2 linked regions of the Neodiprion lecontei genome follow. The protein of the gene in region 2 interacts with the protein of the main gene of each other region in a biochemical or structural test. Links are inferred from orthologs where the notes say so. Each region holds a gene or a part of one and is shown on either strand. Other genes may lie near its edges.

What was found.
Region 1: the proteins of protein TRC8 homolog (region 2) and COP9 signalosome complex subunit 5 form a complex in vitro, tested with the Drosophila melanogaster proteins (2 studies listed by BioGRID). The link is inferred for Neodiprion lecontei from reciprocal best matches to the Drosophila melanogaster genes Trc8 and CSN5.

Annotation. Positions count from the first base shown.
Region 1 is NC_060264.1:28,330,574-28,336,331, reverse strand, and holds COP9 signalosome complex subunit 5, read right to left. Parts: upstream 3,777-5,758; 5' UTR 3,642-3,776; intron 3,330-3,641; 5' UTR 3,310-3,329; coding exon 3,158-3,309; intron 2,988-3,157; coding exon 2,753-2,987; intron 2,619-2,752; coding exon 2,424-2,618; intron 2,332-2,423; coding exon 1,885-2,331; 3' UTR 1,109-1,884; downstream 1-1,108. Other genes in the region: transmembrane protein 65, read left to right, coding at 4,618-4,704, 4,883-5,306. UniProt on the Drosophila melanogaster protein: Probable protease subunit of the COP9 signalosome complex (CSN), a complex involved in various cellular and developmental processes.
Region 2 is NC_060262.1:4,895,072-4,902,547, forward strand, and holds protein TRC8 homolog, read left to right. Parts: upstream 1-2,386; coding exon 2,387-2,678; intron 2,679-3,128; coding exon 3,129-3,499; intron 3,500-3,709; coding exon 3,710-5,113; 3' UTR 5,114-6,735; downstream 6,736-7,476. Other genes in the region: ATP-dependent RNA helicase abstrakt, read right to left, coding at 1-68, 148-418, 598-633. UniProt on the Drosophila melanogaster protein: Plays a role in growth inhibition that is dependent upon COP9 signalosome subunits CSN5 and CSN6. May modulate signalosome levels or compartmentalization. Probably functions in the same or a related pathway to VHL during early midline development.

The DNA of each region.
Region 1 (5,758 bases), on a different chromosome or scaffold from region 2:
TTACTACTCTCACAACCATCCACAATATATTGCCCCGCTCTGTTGATTTGATACTTGACTCGGTTTTCCCTTCTTCGTTTTGATTGAAAATGAACTCAATTACTTTGTACATATTAGATAGAAATTGTCATGCCAAACGTGACTATATTATATACAATAAATAATTGGGGCTCATGAACATTGTTTTTTTTTTTTTGTTTATTTTTAATTTTTGGCAGGGGGCCAGGGGGGAGGGATATTTGTAGTACTACGTGTATGATAATTTTGTTAATTATCGTAAATAACATTGCTACAATCGTTTTATGTACAATTATAACTATCTATCAAGTTATGTTGGATAAAATGATTTAATGCGATTCACCCAACTAATAGGAATGAGTTGCTAGAATCCTTGTTAGACGTAGAATCCTTGATTAATTATTATCATTGGAGGGCTGAGGACTGAATATTAAAACATTTGCTACTCATGTCATAATTTTACATCCCAAATTATACGTATGTACGTAACAAATGCGGGAACTATTAAGGTCTTGAAGACCGAGGATTCCCTTTATAAATTACAGCATTGTATTGTACCGAATCCCCCTGACAATCCCAAGTTTTTCCTCTCTCTGGATTCTGCTACATTTAAATTCTATCGTACCTCGTCTCCACTATTACTGTATTTGGACTATAATTTTTAATATTTGTTATTATATATTCATTTAGCTGCACCAATGAATCGCTAATTCACGCGTTTAATATAATGTATGAATACGTATAATATTTATTTTATCGCTGTTGTATGCTTACATCGTTGCGTTAGGCACTTTTGCAAATTCAAAAAAAAAAGATTTTGCTTCAATATTTGCTTAAGTGTTGTTTATCGAAAGGCAGAGAGAGGTAATTATGATGTCAGTTGAGCTGTAGTTGAAAGAAATCATATATGTGCCTGGAAATTGGCAATTAAATATTAATGGCAAGGTTGTACTTAAAGTATTGTAAAGATAAATTTACAAAAAAAAAACATATTAATCTTGTAACTTTAAGTTACTGCTTGGTTACAAAGGATTGTGGACATGCACTATTGCACCGATTTTATCGGTAGTTAGGATTTTTCGTATATTAGGTCCGTCCCTTGTGAATTGTGTTCGTAACGGGTGATTGCAGTTAATCTGCAGGATACGTGTAACTGAGTGTATGCATGATTATGTTGACAAAGAAGTTTCAGCCCTCCAATAGGGATGAACCCTGCCTACTTGTTCTCATAATTATTTGAGTTTTATATAAATATATACGCATTTATAAATATATGTATATACATACCTATGTGTAAATGTGTGTATATTTATCGGTTACAATGATAATGGATAATGATAAAGATGCTGTATATACTTTTTAGTGAGTCAAGGTGTGAAAATAAAACGTATTTTTATTCCACAATAATTGAATACTGTTACTTTGTATTACATAAAACTTTGACTTGTTACTGTAATTACTGTTTAAAAGCACTGCGCTGAAAGACAAAATGAATTTATTGGGAAGTTTGTGCCTGTGTGTGAATTCATGAATATACTACTGCAACTCAGCAGCTTCAACTGTACAAGTCATAATTCATTGGAATATATGTGGAGTAGGATACTACAAAGTCATAACAGATTCTTATAAAAATTTTGACATCTAGTAAACTTTGCATTTTTAAATAAAATAATGTATAGGGACAGAAGTAGTTACGATTTGGTAACCAGTTACATTATCACCTCTGATTTGTAATATTCTCATTATGATTGGAATGATTTTCGTATTGAACATAGTAAATTTGTTGCAAATCACAATATTATTATTTATTTATCTTTTTAATAATAGGTATACAATAGAAAAACTGCACTGTAAGAGAAAATAAGCTTAAGAGTCTTTTTTGCCGGTTCCAAATTGATTGAAAAGTCTATCTTTGATAACTTGAGCCATAAGACCATGTATAACTTCAATTGTAGTTTTACAGCTATCTCTTGTCGTTTTGACGAGTTTGTCCTCGCTCCGACGGTCGTAAGGATCATTAGATCCGGCGAGCATGTTTCCTCGACCAAGTGCTGCTTCAGACTGTTCCAGTTTGTCGGAAAGATCAAATATCTGTCCAGTCGTGTAGTCGGCATTCGTCAACAAACTGGACGAGCTCAACGTGTTAACCCAGTACTTATTCCAGAGAGAATCAAGCAGTCGACGATCAAGGGAGGATTTGAAATACGTTACTTCCAAGGAATAGTACTGCTTGCAGTGTACTCCAAAGTCTTCGATTTTATTCAACGGTATTGTTTGGTACTCTGATGGCTCGTCGTTGGGTGGTTTATAACCCTGTGGGAATTAAACGGCACGAAAATAATTAAATCAAAAAAATTCAGGTATAATTTCCTAGTAATTGTGTTCAAATCATTTATTATATTAACCTTGGGATATGTTCTGAAAGCTCCAAGGCATACTTTTCCAGCTGAAATAGTTCTAACAGGGTCAATTACAATCGCTACGAATGGTTCTTGAAAATTTTGATTCAACATCTGAGTGGAGACGTCAATTCCTGATAACCAGCATCCGTAACCCGGGTGACTGTGATACCAACCGATGGCATTTTCGTGACGGGCAACCTGAAAAAATGTCGTCAGTCCCATTTTTTTGTCTACTCTGTAATACAGTTGTAGAATGTATCAGTATTGATTCAGCCAATGGAGGTGAAAGTCTTGGCACATTTTACAACCCAAAAATATTGATTCACCATTACCTGTTTAGCAGCCTCGATGTAAGCGGTCATATATTCGTATGCTTGGGCCTGGGCATTGACTCGAGTTTCAGTACCCTCAACGGGAAGAGCGAACGAATCCATGACGAGCATAGTATTCGCCGTTACTTTTCCCAAGAGTAATCCCATGACCTCAAGAGTTCCGCCGGATCGGGCATGCATAACCATCTTCAGCAAAGCTAGCGCCGATATTTTGATGTCTTTGAAGAAGTGAGGACTGAAAAGATCAAATTTTAGTCAATAATAGATCAGTTACTTGATAGTTATTACTAAATTAGAGACGGATATGGTAAAAACACGAAAAAAAAATTGCAGACGTGTTCAGTATAGATTGATGAGTGGATTTTCTCTCGGATATTGAAATAACTGAGCAGGCATAGTTCATACTCTTTTTCCCATGGTTTCGCAGCGAGTATATCAAGCTGCTCCTGACGATCGTATCGATAGATTTCATCTGCTGTGCTTATGGTCTCAACGTTATTTGTCATTTCCCATGTTTTCTGTGCCGTGGACGACTGATCGCTCGACGTGCTTGCCATTATTAACGATCTTCTTTATCCTGGAAACAGAAATTGACATTTGATGAACATAAACGGATTTTTCTATCTGCCTAATACCGCTGGATAAATGGATGGATGGATGGATGGATGGATGGATGGATGACTATAAATTGATCGCTTTTATTATTTGTGGAGAACTTAACGGAAAATAATTCGCAAAAACGTGAAATGTGAATATCGAACAGAAATACGGTGCGGCAGTTGAGTTTATGTAAAGTAAACTTATTATAAAAATTCGTATCAAATATCGACAGAGTAGTTAGCCAAACTGTAGAAAACTATGGATCAGAACAGTTGACTAAAATCCATACCCGTATATACTTCTTGAAAATAATCTTTTCGAAAAGAAACTCTTCGACGGTCGTAAACAAACCTAACTTAAATATCTTCTCGAATTCGCATATCCACTAGTTTTGCAGTAGGGGTCACTGTTGTCGATGCTTAGTTCAAAAAAAATCCGTCACGAATTGCTCGCTCTGAGGGCGCTGTAAATCAAATTGAAAAACAAATGAGACTCATCATGAAATTAGTCATCTCATTGTGTATTTTCTGTGCAGAGATTACTGATCAGTGTTGTACTTATATTGCGTACTCTAAATTTTATTACTCCCTTTTACAATTCATTTCTTTAACGGAATCATGAATGAAATTTTATCATTGCGCGATTTGCTTTTGCGTGAATCATTCGTGACTGAGAATTAATTAAAAAGGTTTTAATTCGTTGTATCAGTTATCGCAGTTGTAATTAAAATTCGTTTGAACGATATCATTGCAGATTGGATATTTCATACACGTTAATTTTTTTATTGCCATTTCGTCAAATACGGCAAATATGGAAGCATAGCCGGAGTTGTGTTATCCCAGTAAACTAAATCGAATTGCACACGGTAAAATAGGAATTAACATGAATTATAACAAATTCAAAAGAATTAGCCCATAAAACATTTCAATTTGCATTAATTCTAATTAACTGCGTTTTTGGACGTACTCAATTCTATTCAATTCATTTTGGTTTACTTGGATCCCGCCTTACGGCATTAAACTACGAAGAATAGGGAAAACCGAAGACAGAAATTTATTATATACTAATAATACATAAGGAAGAATCGAAAATCCCACGTACTCATCCGAGAAATGAAGGGATCGCAGAACAGGGAATTGGATCAACTCCGTGGACATACATCCAGGAAATTTGAATATGTATACATCACCGACGAATCAGAATGGGTAGGGCAGGGGTGGGGGGAGGGGGAGGGGGAGGAGTCGTCGCATCGACGCGAGCGGCTGATGCCGGTAGAGAGCGTAGGTCACCGCAGGGGATCTAGACTCCGGTCAGTCAGTCAGTCAGTCAGTGAGCCCAGATTCGCAGAGTCGGTGAGTTGTGTTCGAGCGTGCAACGTAAATGTTCAGTCGATAAAGAGTGCCATAGATATAAATAGGTGCCGCATAGATAGTATTGAAAAGCGAATGAATATATTATTGGTTGTAAAATCAAAAGAGTAGAGTAAAAAGTTTCGAAACGAGAATGAGTGGACCTGTGACGTCATTGCAGTGTTTGGCGAAGTTTGGGCCCGGAATCGGTGCATCAACGTTGAGAAAACTGTCGATATATGACAATTATTCCCATACCATGTGCTGTGGCAGTGAATTATATTTAATGTCTAAAAAATCCTCGAGCAGCTCGTCGTCGTGCTGCAGGACTCCGAATAAGCGCATGTTACCGACGTCACGGGGGTCAACGGACCTCCGATTGCGGGCATCTATGACAACGGGGGTTTCCCCCTCGGCTACTACAGCTACCACAAGTACTGCTACTGCTGGTGCTCCACGGAACGTCGAGACCCCCGAGACCCCGCCGATTTTATCTAAGCAACAGGCGAGGGATCTCGCTGTACGCCTGACACCCGAGGAGAGGGACGTGCTCATATCGGCACTGCAGGAAACTCAGTCTCAAAAAGTAAAAGCAGAGTATGAAGGTACGAATGATACCGATTCGACGATGTCACTGGATGTATTTGCCCCCTGTGATAAATGTAGTGCGTAGCTTGCCAAGACGAATCGGGGAGAAAGAGAGGCGACCTCGTTATACATAAAACATGCGTTTCTTTCATTTTCTTTCTTTCTTTCTTTCTTTCTAATGTCGAAGCGATTTACCCGTTCCGTGTTCACTCATTTACGATAATATGTCTGTATTGTTGTTCTAAATCCTATAAATTGATACCCTGAGTAATTTGGTATTGTTAATGACTCCGCAGATGTAAAAAAAAATTCACAACAAAGATACGTAATAGTAGATCAGTATTATGGATATTCCTAATTTTCTCACGTGTCGAAAAATCACCGTTGCTACGTTACGCGCGGCTTTAACACGTGCGTGCGTGTGTACTCAGGCATATAGAAAAGTCATGTCAGGTCCGAAGCGAGGTGT
Region 2 (7,476 bases):
CTCAGCCACACTCTCCAAGATTTTTTCCTCCTCCTTCAGCTGCCTCTCCATGGCGCTTTCCTTTTTTGCTAAAATCAAATCCAAAATGTGGGTACGCACAAATTTGTAATATCGTAATTTTTCTGGATCAGAATCAATGCAATTTACCCTCTGCCAATTTCTTGAGCTCCGTATGCTGATCAAGTAAAGATATGTTGAACTTTCTGCCCCAGACTTGCCCGTCGTCGTCTTCCCCGTCATCTTTTTCATTCTCACTGCTACTTTTTCCAGCTAAACCGTTTGATCCTTCCTCCTTAAGTTGGCCGAGCCTACCAAGTTTCATAAGCTGCTGCTTCTTGCGCTCCTTTACAGGAATATAAGGCTGGTAATCATCGTCCGATTCGGAATCGCTGTGTGCTTTGGCGCTTCTTCGGGATCTCTGTCATGTTACAATGAGTAAATGAATATCGAATAAACGTAAGTACACAAAAATGATACGAGTAACACAGTTTTAGATCACAGCACACCGTGGTACAGTTGCATGTAAACTAACAGGTGTACGTTTAGTCTCATTTGATACAACCTGTAAATATGGCTTATTAACAATGAAACAATCACCTTTGGAGGTGAACTTCGATCACTTCGTTCTCCCATCGCCCCCAGGGAATGAAAGTATTCACACTGTAGTTTGTTTATTTGATTCCACGTTTGAATTTAGATTATCACTACGGAGATAAAGTGCAAACGAAACTGAACGTCAGATGTGAGTTGTGACTGAAAAACATAACCAATAAAGAACATACGGTTATGAAACGCAGGGCGAAAGTACGTGACTGAATTACCGACGGAATGAACGTGACTCCGAACTGTCACTAACCAAAAATAAGTACCTCGGAAAAACTAAATAACCGAATTGCCGGATGATTTTCCGTTCTCACATTGAATAATTTATCAGTAGCAGAGTGATTTGAAGTGAAAATATTCATTAAGATGAATCATAATTTTCCGGGTGCAAATATTTTCCTAAATGTGAGTTTTATTTTCTTCCGGCAAATTGCAACGAGTGACGTTTCAGTCGGTCAAAAAGAAGTACGTACGGCAAAGTGACAGCTATTTATGGCGGCTGTGTTTACTCTCTATATGCTACAAACACCGCGGTATACATCAGCTGCACAGACAGCTGCTGCAAGATAAAATCGACGGGTTTGACAGGCTGGCTAGTTGGAGTGAAAAAAATTGATTCGCCACACTAAACCGCCATCCCGTGATCGATCGCGGACCCACAGGTCCTCACGAATATTTCGTGCATTTAGTGGAAATTATTTAACCTCTTAACGGCGGGGCTAGTCGATATATCATCCAGCAGTCAGGTTGGGAACTTCAAATCATTGAAATCATTGAAATCATACATAAATATCACGTTCTAACACAAAGTCGATTTTAACTGAAATTTTGCCCGTCCGTAAAAGGTTGATACATGTTCATCTGTCTGCGATATGAGAATGAGTAAACGGATCGTGACGGCGAAATCTTCCGCGAAGATAACATACACGCACATATCGCAGTTCGAGACTGTATACGAATAACTATTCGAAAAATCTGGCGCAAACTCGGCGTGTAAATAGAATTTTAACGGGCGATGCGAGGTGGGTGTAAAAAAAAATAAAAAATGCGTCATATGAGAAATAAATAAGGAAATCGATGTATATTATGTAAAGTACTTATCAACTAAAACTCTTTCTCCGTTTCCCTTTTGTTTTCGTTCTCTCGTTCGTCAATAACCGTTATTTATACTAACGCGATAAGATAACGAAAATAAAAAAACATCTATTGTACGGTTGAAAGTTTTTCACCGCAGGCAGCAAGCTCCATCTGTTGCTGCATAGCATGTAGTTTAAAAAGTCAAGACCTGCTGGTTGGTTGGTGATGCGCAGCTGGTGTTGCTGGCTGGCAGGCAGGCTGAGAACTGCAGCGTGTTTTGTAACCTCGATTAATAATCTGGAATTTTGTGTACATAAATACATGAATAAATAAATTAGCAGGCGACCTTTGACTGATCAAATTAATAAATAATCAAAATCGTTGTGAAATAAATCGAAGGGAAAGTGCTCAGCGTAACCGTGCCAATTATGACAACAGGGTTCATTAATTTAACAAAATTTGAGGAAAATATAATTCTCGATTAAACCGAAGTATCGTCGTGGGGAAAACTGTAGAAATTTTATTATCATACGGAAGAAAGTGAAACTAGATAGAATAAAAGAAAAAAAAAGACAAGAAAATTCGCTAATCTGGGAGAGACTGGAAGTATGGAGAGTTGATAATAAAAAAAAAAAGTAGCCTTACCCAAGGAAAGAGAAAGTGCAAAATAGTCGACCTTTCTGACGTCCTTAAAGATTTGGAAAATATGTTGACCACCATTAGAAATAAGGCGCTTAATTTCGCCGATGTCGTTATGAGGGTTCCGCCGCTTTTCATTATCGACGAACTGCTCAGGATCGGCCTTGGCTTGCCCGGCGAAAACATAGTCCTTGAAGACGTCAACAATGAATTCAAAGTCGTCAGCGTTCCTGATTCCATTGTTGGTTCGCTGGTTGGCATTACACCCGAGGTCGGTTTGCTCCACCAGCTAAACTTGAGTCAGCACATCTACCAGTCGTACTTACTCACGCTCTTTAAATTCATCTTGTGCTGTTTAGGTAAGGAGCCAAAGTAAAAAAACCTCATTATCGGTTACCCTTTTACAAACCTGCTATCAGTTATTTCCGTTCTATGCACAACCAACGATTAAAACTTGGCTCACTGCTGTAGTTTTTAAAAGCGGTAACTGAAACAGGTCAATGAATAAATTATGTGGGGCACTTGACTTTGCAAGTCACTTAGAAGGTATTTACTCGCTTAGAAAATTTATGAAGGAGAAGGTCAAATTAAAGGAAGTATTTTTATCAAAATGAGGCATAAAAGAAATGCAAACAGTAGCTATGCAAGTATCAATAACCGTTTCAGTTTTGTTGTACATCACGTTAAATCACTGGATGATTTCAACTACCTTATGTATAGTTATAGAGAGATTCGTGGAAAGATCGCTTCGCTGCTTCGTCGCTTTTTGTTTCTCCTTTCCGGCAACGTTCTATTTCTCTCTATTCCAGCATGCGAGGCAGCACTTTGCGGCATTATGCTGCAAAAGAAACACCTCGTCGTCGTTTACCTCTACCTGATATCGGTCGGTGTGATATTCGTGTCATATTGGTCGAACGTCAGCACCATGAAGGCGGTCATCTGGTACGCCACCGCAAATGAGACAGCGACGAGTATCCTGGACGATGTGCTGTGTCTGGATATACCCAAGGTGCTGAATCCTGACGGACCGGGAGTCGTTGTCATCCGGAACTACATCCTCCAGTGCACTCTCGCCCTTATCTTCTGCTACGTTCACCTTGCTCCGAGATTTTCCATTATACAGAAGTCTCTCGTCTTCAGTTTCATGGCTCCTTCCATATTCGCAGTTCTTCCGATACCCGTGAGTTACGATTGAGAAATTGAAATATGGTGTGTTTCGAATAACGGTTGACATTTGGACTAGCATGGTCACCTCGATTTATATTCACTTTCTTCGCCCAATAAGTTTAGCATCAGCCTTGAAACCATTCCTGAAAATTTATCAACAAAACGAAGATGATCGGTTTGGCATTTCTTTTACCATCTAACAGTTAGAAATTTCGTTTCACAGATTACAGTTCTGAACCATGCTCCAGTCTTCGCAACCCTGCTTCCGCTCGCAGTGTCAAAGTTCGTAATTTGGTACAACTCGGTGGCGATGGGCCGCATCATATACTCAGGTTACCAGCACGCTCGAACGTTTATCAGCAGCTACGGTCTCTCGGCGTTGGTGGAGGCGGAATGGAGTCGGCTGAACGTGCCCTGCGTTCTGCGGATTTTTTGGATGCTTAGAGTGGGCGAGCAAGTTATACAAATAATGGGAAACCACTACGGGGAAGATACGTTCACGTATTACGTGATGGTCAGGACTCTGTTGATAAACGGCTGCGAGACGCTTACAGCTGTTCTAGGAATGACGAGCGTGATATCGTTCATCTGCCACTACATCGGTTGCTTCTTCCAATGGATATTACTTAACGATGACGAGGAGGACAGCAAGAGCATCGGAACGGTATCGGCGATTCTTTTCTACATCCTGGCTCTCCAAACAGGATTGACCAGTCTGGACAGAGAAATGCGGTTGGTAAGATTGTGCCGAAACTTTTGCCTCCTGTTCACAGCGCTTCTCCACTTTGTTCACAATATAGTCAATCCTCTACTGATGTCGCTGAGCGCGTCGCACAATCCCGCTCTTCACAGGCACTTCCGAGCACTGTTGGTCTGCGCCTTTCTGATTATGTTTCCGGTTTATCTCCTCGTATTGCTGTGGTCGCAATACTCGGTCAGCACTTGGCTGCTCGCTGTCTCGGCTTTTAGCATAGAGGTTATAGTAAAAGTCCTCGTATCGCTGGCGATATACTCGCTGTTCCTTTACGACGCGTGCCGTCACACGTTCTGGGAACAATTGGACGACTACGTTTACTACATACGCGCCTTCGGTAACACCGTGGAATTTGCATTCGGGATCTTTCTGTTCTTCAACGGCCTATGGATCCTCGTGTACGAGTCGGGCGGACTAATAAGAGCAGTCATGATGTGTGTGCACGCCTACTTCAACATATGGTGCGAAGCAAAGGCCGGATGGAGCGTATTCATGAAGAGGAGAACGGCCGTGAACAAGATAAACTCGCTGCCAGAGGCGAGGACCGAGCAGCTTATGCAGCTCGACGACGTTTGCGCTATTTGCTACCAGGAAATGTCAAGCGCTAAAATAACCAGGTGCAATCACTACTTCCACGGCGTTTGTCTAAGAAAGTGGTTGTACGTTCAGGATCGCTGTCCGCTGTGCCATGATATTTTGTACAAAGTTGACAGTCCGCAAGACAGCAAAGACAATGTCTCTGCTCTCACTGATCAGGAGAGGCGAAACGAAGATGAAATCGATGAGTTGTACCAGAACCAGGGACTGCAGAGGAACGGATTGCGAAGTCCGAACTATAGACGATACGTTGAACAGCTTAACGAAGACAGGTGAAGCTTAACGTCTAGCTATATTGTGATATAATTATTATAAAAAATAAATTATATTGTTATTTCATGTTATACAATGGAGTTTGATATTGTCACACTGTGCGAGGGTATCGTTTCAAGTCCAAGTGTAATTTGACCAAGGCTACTGTTCTTTTCTTCCTTCTTTCTTATTGTTTCTTTTACTATATTTAATTTTTTGTCTTTTTTCTTCCCCTCTGTTCCGTTCCTCAGAATCAACAATCGATGTGCAAGTTTATTATTATTATTATTATTATTGTTGTTGTTATTGTTATTAATATTATTACTATTATTAGACACGTTTCGTATCACACTTTATCATACTTCCGGGTTTAGATAGATGGATAATTCGCCATGTCCATACATTTTAAACTCTTGTATGTCATACAATCCTACCAAATCGAAGAAGAAAAAAAATACGAAAAATACCGTTAAAAATAGAAAACTAGCGACGAAAGAAAGGAAAACAAGAAACGAAGAAAATGAAACAATTTATTATTTATGTAACTATAAGGTAGGTAAATAGAGATAATAACGACGATAGAAATTATAGGAACTAACTTCCACATATTTTATATCATGTATATTATGTATATTATCATCATCATCATTATTATTATTATTATATACTCATATAAAAAAAATAATAATAATGATAATAATTTAGAAATCTATCCAATACTTTATTATAAATGTAAGCCGCTATACATGTACGTCAATTATTAATTTGGATTAATTATTCTGTGATCGTATAGTATCGCCTTAATTATATTATGTATAACATGAGCTTACATTTCTATACAATTGCTACTTACATGTGTCTCTCTCTCTCTCAATCCGTAATTTCTCTCGCGGTACTTCCTAAATTCCGAAAATGGAATTTTTCTGTAAAAAAAGAAAAGTTTCAACATTTTTTTTCTTTCTACACTTTTCTTATATTGTAGTAAATATTCTTGTAGGAACAATCCTTACCTCGCTTTACTTTAAAACGCGATTTGCGTCTTTATTTCATTCTTTTTTACACTAAATAAAGACGATAATTAGTTTTCTTCCTTTTTACTCATACCAAATCTTCGTCGGTAGCCCATATAATATACGTATAAATGATTATTCCTTGATCGATTAACGGGAATAAACCACGATGTTGTTGGAAAAAAATAATAATTTACTTTACATGTTACGTTCTACCTACTTGTCATCGATGAATTAATTTACGTATCTAATACAGAATGACCGATGAGGTAAGGAAAGAAAATGCATTGAGTAACGATAAAACGACCAAAAAGAAGAGAGAACGAGAAATGTGAAACGAGTCAAACAACACAGTGTGAAATGTTAAAGACAAAAAAAAATTAAAACCAATCGAAAAGAAATTCGTACCGCAATACGATACGTATTATTACGTGTGTTTTAATCTCCGTATAAACACACGTTTCACCTGTATTTGTGTATTCATTTAAATACAACAAGTGCAGCAAATATAGGCATAATGTATAATGTGTAAAGTTTAATTTTTGATGGGTATTCGTATGTGTATATATATGCTAAGCACAAAAAAAAAAAAAAACACCAAAAAAACAAAAATACGACTAATATTAACCGGTGGTTGTAAATAACCAATAGGTACGTATAGACCTTTGATTTGTTTCTTTTCTGTTTTGTGAATTTATATGTTTCATTTTCATATTATCCGAGTCCCTGATTCGTTCATACCCGAAACAATTATTAACGTATATGCGTTTCATTTCGCGCAAGTACCATTGTATACTAAACATAAATACAAACTATAGGTAGTAGTACGTTTATATTCCTGTATACCCATCACGCATACACATAAATATGCTCTATATCGCACCTTTCAGTAATAAAAATAATAATAATAATAATATCATATTTTGATAGATATAATTAAGCGAGAAATATAATATCTTATATGTATAATAAACAATATATTTTATAAATGAACGTCAATGAATCGTAAACCCTCTTTTATATTTATAAAAATATTTCATTTCTCCAGAATTATGCAAAAGCAAAAAAAAAAAAAAAAAGAAACCAACTACCGCGTAATTGACGATATTTAAACAACGTGTAATTCGCATTATCTTCAAACTGTGAAAGTACTCTCTGTATCGCAAAATAATTCATCAAAGGTTTCACAAAATTCGTGACTCCGTGAATATAAAAGTATAAAATAGTCAATCGATGTGAAATTTTTATGCACGGATATCAGACGTGTACAGGAAACATGTATTTAAAAAAATATCTCGAATGCGACCATTTTGTTGTACTTATCTGCGTATTAACATTTGTGCAATACACTTATTGTTAACGTGACCGCGGAAGGTG